2 linked regions of the Oryctolagus cuniculus genome follow. The protein of the gene in region 2 purifies or fractionates together with the protein of the main gene of each other region. This does not show direct contact. Links are inferred from orthologs where the notes say so. Each region holds a gene or a part of one and is shown on either strand. Other genes may lie near its edges. The genes, in order: NR1H2 and ABCA1.

What was found.
Region 1: the proteins of ABCA1 (region 2) and NR1H2 purify together in Homo sapiens (affinity purification with western blotting; 3 studies listed by BioGRID and IntAct, with this or other methods). This does not show direct contact. The link is inferred for Oryctolagus cuniculus from reciprocal best matches to the Homo sapiens genes ABCA1 and NR1H2.

The regions. Positions count from the first base shown.
Region 1 is NC_091449.1:7,476,751-7,481,186, reverse strand, and holds the start of NR1H2 (oxysterols receptor LXR-beta), read left to right. Parts: upstream 1-1,484; 5' UTR 1,485-1,639; intron 1,640-1,742; 5' UTR 1,743-1,877; intron 1,878-2,268; 5' UTR 2,269-2,287; coding exon 2,288-2,330; intron 2,331-2,417; coding exon 2,418-2,549; intron 2,550-2,677; coding exon 2,678-2,968; intron 2,969-3,450; coding exon 3,451-3,713; intron 3,714-3,819; coding exon 3,820-3,999; intron 4,000-4,436. UniProt on the Homo sapiens protein: Nuclear receptor that exhibits a ligand-dependent transcriptional activation activity. Binds preferentially to double-stranded oligonucleotide direct repeats having the consensus half-site sequence 5'-AGGTCA-3' and 4-nt spacing (DR-4).
Region 2 is NC_091432.1:208,664,898-208,668,695, forward strand, and holds part of ABCA1 (phospholipid-transporting ATPase ABCA1), read right to left. Parts: intron 2,885-3,798; coding exon 2,713-2,884; intron 1,721-2,712; coding exon 1,589-1,720; intron 720-1,588; coding exon 577-719; intron 360-576; coding exon 222-359; intron 1-221. UniProt on the Homo sapiens protein: Catalyzes the translocation of specific phospholipids from the cytoplasmic to the extracellular/lumenal leaflet of membrane coupled to the hydrolysis of ATP.

The sequences.
Region 1 (4,436 bases), on a different chromosome or scaffold from region 2:
GCATCAGCAGGGAGCTGGATCAGAAGTGGAGCAGCCTGGACTCCAGCCAGCACCCCCATGGGATGCCGGCGCTGCACACGGCGGCTTAGCCCGCTGCCAAGGCGTGGGCCATTCACCAAACCCTACTCGTGCCGCCCGTTTCCCCATTGGAATGCAACTCTCACAGGGGGAGGGGTCTAGGTCCAGGGGGAGGGGTCTTGGTCCAGTTGAGTTCATTGCTACCCGGGTCCTCAGCACCTGGGAGAGCACCTGCCACACAGCAGACCCTCGCCAATGTCGGCTCGGAGCCTCCTTCGGCACAGCCTGCCCTGGGCAGGATCGACGACCCTCCCCGCCGCCCCCCACCCCGACTCGCTCGGGCCCAGGTCGCGTCGCCCCGCGCCCCGCACCCAGGGGTCATTTCTCGGAGGCCTTGTCTGCAAAACCGCAGGCGGCCGCACGGTGGCGGTGTGCACCCGCGTTCCCGCCACGGGTCCCGCCATGCCGGGCGCCGAGGCCGCGGGCAGCTCCCCGACCGGTGCCGCGGGAGAACAAGGGCTGGCTCCCCGCCTGCCCCTGCCCGCGCTCGCCGAGACAAGGCCTCCGGCACACGGCGGATTGGGACCAGATTGAGGCTCCACACACAGCCTCCTACAAGCCCCTGGTACTTTTGCTCCCTTTCCATTGGCTGGACCCCGTCACGTGACCAGCAGGCCGCGTGGGCCGCTGGGGAATGTAGTTCGGCTGTGTGTCGGGCCTCGTGTGTGAACCTCGGTCAGCGTCCATCGCGCGTGGCCCACGAGGCCTGCTGCGAGGTCCGATGGCAGAGCCGGCGCGGCCCGAAGGCTCAGGGATGCCGGGCAGCATCTCCCCGAGCCGCCACGCCCCGGCTGAGGAGCCACGGCCCCCCAGCCCCAGGCTTTCGGAAACGCCTGGTTCGCCCGCACAGCCCGGGCAGAGGAGACGCAGGGGCTCCCCTGCGAGCCGGCCTGGCTCAGGGCAGAGCACCGAGCTCGTCCGCAGCCGGAATCCGGGCGCCGAGCGCCCAGCCCGCCCCGTCCACGCGCCCCGCGGGGAACGTGCCACAGCCAACACTTTACTTTGACCCTTGTGGTCTGGAGAGCCTGGACTTTTACAAACGCTTCCAGCAGCAAAGTTAGGGTTTGCCGCATACGTTTTCCCGGCCCAAGTTCGTATTTCAGCTCATTGAAAACCCCGAAGCTGCCAGCCCACAAACTCCGCAAACGTGCACTGCGTGTTTTCACCAGTCACGGGGAGGGACGCTGCCGCTGCTGGGGGTGTCTGCGGACCCGGCTCTCCGGCCGCAGGACCAAGGATGGGCGCGATAGGCCAACCGCGCGGTCCGGGGCCGGCCACGCCACGCCGGACCGCGGTCCCCCACAACTCCCCGGAACTCTTCTTCCGCACCCCCCAGCGGAGCCACACGGCGGCGCACACTTCCGGCGAGCGCACCACTTCCGTGCGGGGCGGCCGACTCGGCCGGCCCCCAGCGGACCGGAAGTCCGTCACCCTTCGCGCCCCACCCCTTCCGGAAGTGACGCATGGCGGGGTTGCCGGAAGAAGTGGCGAAGTTACTTTTGAGGGGACTCTGGTGGCGGCGGCGTGTCAGGGGCTACGGCCCCGGAGGAAGAGGAGCCGAGTAAGGGGGCGGAGACAGGAGCACTGGGAGTGGGGAGACGCAGGAGGAGCCCCCAGCAGCTCCGACGAACCCCCTTCTCTCTTCCCTCCGCTCCCCTCCGTAGCTTGCGCATCCCCCGGCTGTTTCCAGGGCAACGGGAGGAGACCCCCCCACGCGAGAGGCCGCCCACAAGTCCCCGCGCGCAGCCATGAGCCCCGCCCCCCACTGGTGCTCGGAGAGGGGCGGGACCTGGAGCGAGGTGATGGGGCGGGGCTTGCGGGAGGGGCGGGGGCGGGGCTAGGTGTTGTGGTGGGCGGGGCCTGAGAAAAATCAGAATGAGAGACGGAGTTGGGTTGGGGGGAGGTGTGCTAAGAGCAGGTGGGCTGTGACTGACGGGCAGAGTGAGCCCCAAGGAGAATGGACAGTGATGGGCGAGCAGGTGGGTGGGGCCTGGGGCGGGGCCTGTAAAGGGGGCGGGACTTAAGGCCACACTGCAAGTTGGAGCATGGGTGGGAAGCGTCTGGCGGCCGGCTGGGGCTGGGGTCCCTGTGCAGTAGTCGGAGCCTGGGGGAGCTGGAATAAAGGGGCCCCCTCATCAGAACCCGCAGCTGGCCTGACCCAGTCCTGCGTTGCCCCCCTGTGTTGTGCAGGCTGCTCCGTGACCCCACCATGTCCTCCCCCACCACGACCTCCTTGGACACTGCCCCGCCTGGTGAGTGGCCCTGTGCCTCGCCCAGCCCCGGTCGGAGCAGCCGCACGGCCGGAGGAGCTCACCGCGCCGCGTCTCCCCGTCCCCCAGGAGATGGCCCCGCGCAGCCCGGCACCTCCTCCCCCTCGCCCGCCGTGAAGGAAGAGGGTCCCGAGCCCTGGCCCGAGGCCGCGGACCCTGCTGTGCCAGGCAGCGATGAGGCCGGCTCAGCCTGCGTCGTGGGTGAGACGGGGCCCGGGACGGCTGTGGGCAGCAGGGCAGAGGGAGGCCCTGCCTCGCTTCTTTGGGGCGCACGCGCCGCCCGCTCCTTGCGGCCCCTCACCGCCTTGTCCGCCCGCCCGCCCGCCCAGTCGCCGTGGAGCCGGAGGAGGAGCCGGAGCGCAAGCGGAAGAAGGGCCCGGCGCCGAAGATGCTGGGCCACGAGCTGTGCCGCGTGTGCGGGGACAAGGCCTCGGGCTTCCACTACAACGTGCTCAGCTGCGAGGGCTGCAAGGGCTTCTTCCGGCGCAGCGTGGTCCACGGCGGCGCCGGCCGCTACGCCTGCCGCGGCGGCGGCGCCTGCCAGATGGACGCCTTCATGCGGCGCAAGTGCCAGCTGTGCCGGCTGCGCAAATGCAAGGAGGCCGGGATGCGGGAGCAGTGTGAGTGCGGGTGGGGAGGGTCGGCCAAGCCCCGCCCCGCCCCGCCCACGCCCCCTCGGTCACGCCCCTGCCCCGTCCACATCCCCCGGCCTTCGCTAGTGCGAGGCACCGGGATGCGGGAGCAGTGTGCAGGGTGGGGAGGGCTCGGCCCGACCAGGCCAAGGCCTGGCCACCTCCCCAGACCGGCCACACCCCAACCGCCCTGGCCACGCCCCGATCCCCGGTCGGCCCCGGCCCTCTCATGCCCTGTCCCCGCCTCCGACAGGCCACGCCCCGCTGGCCACGCCCCCAACCCTTGCAAATTCAAGGAGGCCAGGATGCTGGAGTAGTGTGGGGGCGGGGCGCTACCCCATCCCCAACTGTGCCGGCCTTGGCCTTACCCCGAACCTGGCCACACCCCGACCCGCCCAGCCGGTCATCCCCGCCCGGCCACGCCCCCGCCCGGCCACGCCCCCGCCGGCTGAGCGCTGGCTCCGTTCCAGGCGTCCTCTCTGAGGAGCAGATCCGGAAGAAGAAGATTCGGAGGCAGCAGCAGCAGCAGCCGGTGCCTGGGGAGCCGGGGGGCAGCAGCGGCTCGGCCGGCGCGCCGGGGGCGTCCCCCGGGGGTGCGGAAGCCAGCGGCCAGGGCTGCGGCGAAGGCGAGGGCGTCCAGCTCACAGCGGCCCAGGAGCTGATGATCCAGCAGTTGGTGGCCGCCCAGCTGCAGTGCAACAAGCGCTCCTTCTCTGACCAGCCCAAAGTCACGGTACTGCCCGCCCAGCCTCGGGCGGCCGGGCCGGGAGGCGGAGGCCGCGGGCTTGGCCTCGGGGTCAGCGCCGGGGTCCTGGCGTGACCGGTCTCCCGTGTCGCAGCCCTGGCCCCTGGGCGCGGACCCCCAGTCCCGCGACGCCCGGCAGCAGCGCTTCGCCCACTTCACGGAGCTGGCCATCATCTCGGTGCAGGAGATCGTGGACTTCGCCAAGCAGGTGCCCGGCTTCCTGCAGCTGGGCCGCGAGGACCAGATCGCGCTCCTGAAGGCGTCCACCATCGAGGTAACAGCCAGTGCCAGGCCCGAGCCCCGGGCAGCGCCGCACAGGGGCCGGGAGTCCGGGGCAGCACCCGCACAGGGCCCGGGAGCCCGGGGCAGCGCCCGCGCAGGGCCCGGGAGCCCGGGGCAGCACCCGCAGAGGGGCCGGGAGCCCGGGGCAGCACCCGCAGAGGGGCTGGGAGTCCGGGACAGCACCCGCACAGGGCCCGGGAGCCCGGGGCAGCGCCGCACAGGAGCCGGGAGTCCAGGGCAGCACCCGCACAGGGGCTGGGAGTCCAGGGTAGCACCCACACAGGGACCGGGAGCCCTGGGGCTGCGCCCGCACAGGAGCCGGGAGTCCAGGGCAGCACCCGCACAGGGGCTGGGAGTCCAGGGTAGCACCCACACAGGGACCGGGAGCCCTGGGGCTGCGCCCGCACAGGGGCCGGGAGTCCAGGGCAG
Region 2 (3,798 bases):
TGTCCTCCATCCCCATTTCTCTTCTTCTTGCAGGCCCCTAAGTAATGAAGCATAAGCAGGCCTCCCACCTCCATGCCATGTGCTTGCAGGAAAAGAGATTCTCATCTTCCTTGAGAAGCAATGCTGTTGTCCTAGCAAGAAGAGCCCTGAGATCCAGCCGTAGTTGTCAACCACCTCAACCCTGCCCAGTCTGTGACTTGGAAGACATGCAGGACAGTTACCTTGTCGGTATTTCAGCAACAGTTCCCATATTCCCCTGCGGGAATAAGGGTCCACACCAGCTGTGGGCTCGTCCAGAATGACAACCTTGGATCCCCCGACAAAGGCCAATGCCACAGAGAGTTTTCTCTGCATTCCACCTGTAAGAAATAGACAGGCTCCAGGACCAGCCCCAGATGGTGAGTGAAGTGGAGGTGATGAGAGACAGGTGGAAGCACCCACCTGGGGACATAGCCAGGGACCAGTTTCTATTCCCCACTCACCCAGCCCAGGACGCTGGGAGAGCGGTGCCTCCTGTGTGTGCGCCCACTTGGAGGCAGAGGGGAGGGAGAAAGGAGAAAGTAGCTGCAGGCTTACCTGACAACTGACTTGTTTTGCTCTTCAGCTTGCTGGGTGGCAAACCAACATCCAGGGCCATCTGCTCCATCTCTGCTTTCACGTGCTTCTCGGAGAGCCCTTTGAGGCGGGCGTAGAACCAGATATGCTCTTCCACAGTCAGCCTGGGGATAGAGGGGCAGGTCAGCTCTGGGCCCTGCAGGATGCACCAGAATATAGTGTCTCCTGACCAGAGCAAAAGAGAATGGCTACGTTTTTTTTTCTCCCCCTCCACCTTTTAAAAAATATTTTACCAATCACTGAAAAGTGATCTTTAGACTTCAAGGCAGAACCACAGCAACAAACCTGAGCTGCTCAGGAATGGGACAGATCCCTTCCAACTGGTCCCCAGCGAGCCTTGCCCCAGCTACCGGACAATTCCAAAGTTAAATTTCAGACTCCCAATGTGTGGTCCTCAAAGAGCTTTCCTGTAACCCAAGTCAACCAAGATGTTGGCCTGGAATTAACGTGGACTGGCCCTCCTGGCCTCAAGGAAACGGAGACTCAAAGAAGGGAGGCCCTCAGGGACTCTTGTGAGCCCACGATGCTCAAATCTGGTCAGCAGAAGCTGAGGCTCACAAGGAGGAAAGGACTCACCCAAGGTCAGAGCACAGGTCTTCCTCTACTTTAATATTGGGGCTTCCTGGAGGCCCTACTTCCTAATGAGACAATCTGAGTGGGAACAAATGTCTTGAGCAAGAAACACAGGGCCACTGTAAGAAGGTGCCCTGAGGCCATTGGGGAAGATGTGGGCCAAGGGACCCTTCAGAATGCCAATGATGGAGAGTACTGCTTCCAAGCCCCCATCTGCTGGCTGGACTTGTGCAGTATCTATCATCCAGAAACTCACTCCACTTTTCCTAAAATCAAGGGACAACTAGGCCTCACATGTCTAGGGAGGCAAGACCTGCCATCCCCAAAGAAGGAGAAATGCTTAAGTCCCTTGCACCCACGACTTCATGACACACACATCCAGAAAGGGCCTGGTACTCACATGTCAAACAGCACATTGTGCTGGGGACAGACTCCCAGGTTCTGCCGGATGGTGCTCATCTCCGAGCGAATGTCCTTCCCCAGGATGTAGGCGGTGCCCGAGGTGGGAGGGAACAACCCAGTCAGGATGGACCTGAGGTTAGAAACCAAACAGTATAGGAGTCAGGGCTGACCCACCCTCTCCTCTAGATGCTGCATAGCCAGGCAGAGAGAACAGAGGGCACCAACCCTCCCACCCCCTAATTCCTATCTAACAGACCCCAACAGACCCCCTCCCCCAACAAGGCAAAAAATTGCTCGATGTTAAGGAATAACTAGAATCAGGCCTATGTGTCAGGAATGGCAATTTTGGCATAAGCATTTTTAAAACAAAGTATCCAATCTGCACTGGAAAGTATACTTTAAAAAATGTCTTATATATTTAACATCATGCCCACAAAAAATTGACAAACCAGAACAAGTTATTCAAAGAAAAAAACAAAGTTTGTGTTAGATGGTAAGATTCTGGAATGCCTTTTAAAATTGTTCTACCATGTTCGTAATATTTTGATTTATATTAAACAAAAAGATAAAAGAAAAACAGGAAAAGAGTATCCTATCTAAAGACACAACCTCTGGAAGGGTTGAGGAAACACACTGAAAACCACTGAGGCTACCTCTGGGGCTTTATGGCTTTTGTCCCATCCAAGGCTGTCATGGTAAGATCCTTGTAGATCCCAGGCATGGCAACCAAAGCCAGCTGTCCAGATGCTTCTCACATATGCTTAGACACTTTCTGGAAATTGCCACCCCCCTCTAACATATCCAACCTTTCTTTCCAGATTCTCACTTTACAGTTCTGACCAAACCAGCTCAAAAGGAGACCCTTCCTCAGAGCAGTCATGGCCCCAGAGTCCTAGAACACTACAGAATACCAAGAACTACATGGGAAAGTCATACAAAGGATCCCCCTGATTCGGGCTGACGATTGACATCTAGTAAAATCTTGCACTCTGAGTGCAGCCTCCTGGTTAGATAATGATTTTACATCCATCATCTCCTGTGTTTTGCCCTTGCCCCAGTGACCCAGACAATTTCCTTAGGTGGAAACCACACTGTGATTCTGTGAGTCACCCCTCTTCTTACATGGTGGTGGTCTTCCCCGCTCCATTGTGACCCAGGAAGGAGGTGATCTGGCCCTCATAAAAATTCAATGCCAAGCCATCAACAGCCACTTTCATGCCATCTCGGTAAACCTTCACCAGGTTCTGGATGGACACGCCCAGCTTCAAGTGGGTGGGCTCCTCTTCCATGCAAACTGTGAGAAGAGAGAAGGGTGAACCCACAGAGACTACTGACTGAGTGGGGTGTGAAGACCTGGGCGCTGTGCTTCTACCTACAGTACTGTTTTCTCTTCAAGACCACTCTGAACTCACCGGCAGGCAAGAGGCTATACACACGTGTGAGGACCAATTTGGGCAGAGATATTGGTGACTGGAACACAATAATAAAAGTGTCTGCACTGTAGACTTTTGGAGAGGAAGGAAGACTTGAAAAAATATAGGATGATAATAGATGCTTAAAAACACATCTAAAAATGCCACAAACTGGAACACCCACACCAGGGAATACTACTTTGCAATGAAAGGAATGAACTGGTGATACACACCACAACTTGGATGAATCACATGGAAATTATACTAAGTTAAAAAAAAATCAACAGGCTACCTACTATATGGTTCCTTTTACGGAACATTCTAGAAATAATAAAATTATAGAAATGGAGAAAAAAAATAGTGGTTATCCGATGTCAGAGACTGGGAGAAGGGAAATGCCTCTGGCTATGAAACAGTAGCATGAGTGAACTTTGGATGCTGCAATAGGCCTGAATCTTGATTGAGCTACTGATTACATGAATCAACACCTGTGATAAAACTGCACAGACTAAATGCACAGAAACACATGCTCCAGCAACTGTGAGCAGATCCAGGAGACTAAAAAGGAGCTGGAACAGGGGGCAAGTGAGCTCACTAAGATATCGCTTCCAAATGAAGGAAGGACACAGAGGAAATCAGCAGAAGAAGGGCCTATTAACAATGGAAGGAAGCCACAGTAGGCAGAAAGAGCTTAACAAAAAAGCCCAGTAGGCAGAGCCATTGCTTCTCCACCCACAGTCAGGAGCCAGGAGAGACTTAGCATTCTGGGGCAGTGACTTGGTGCCAACCGATACAG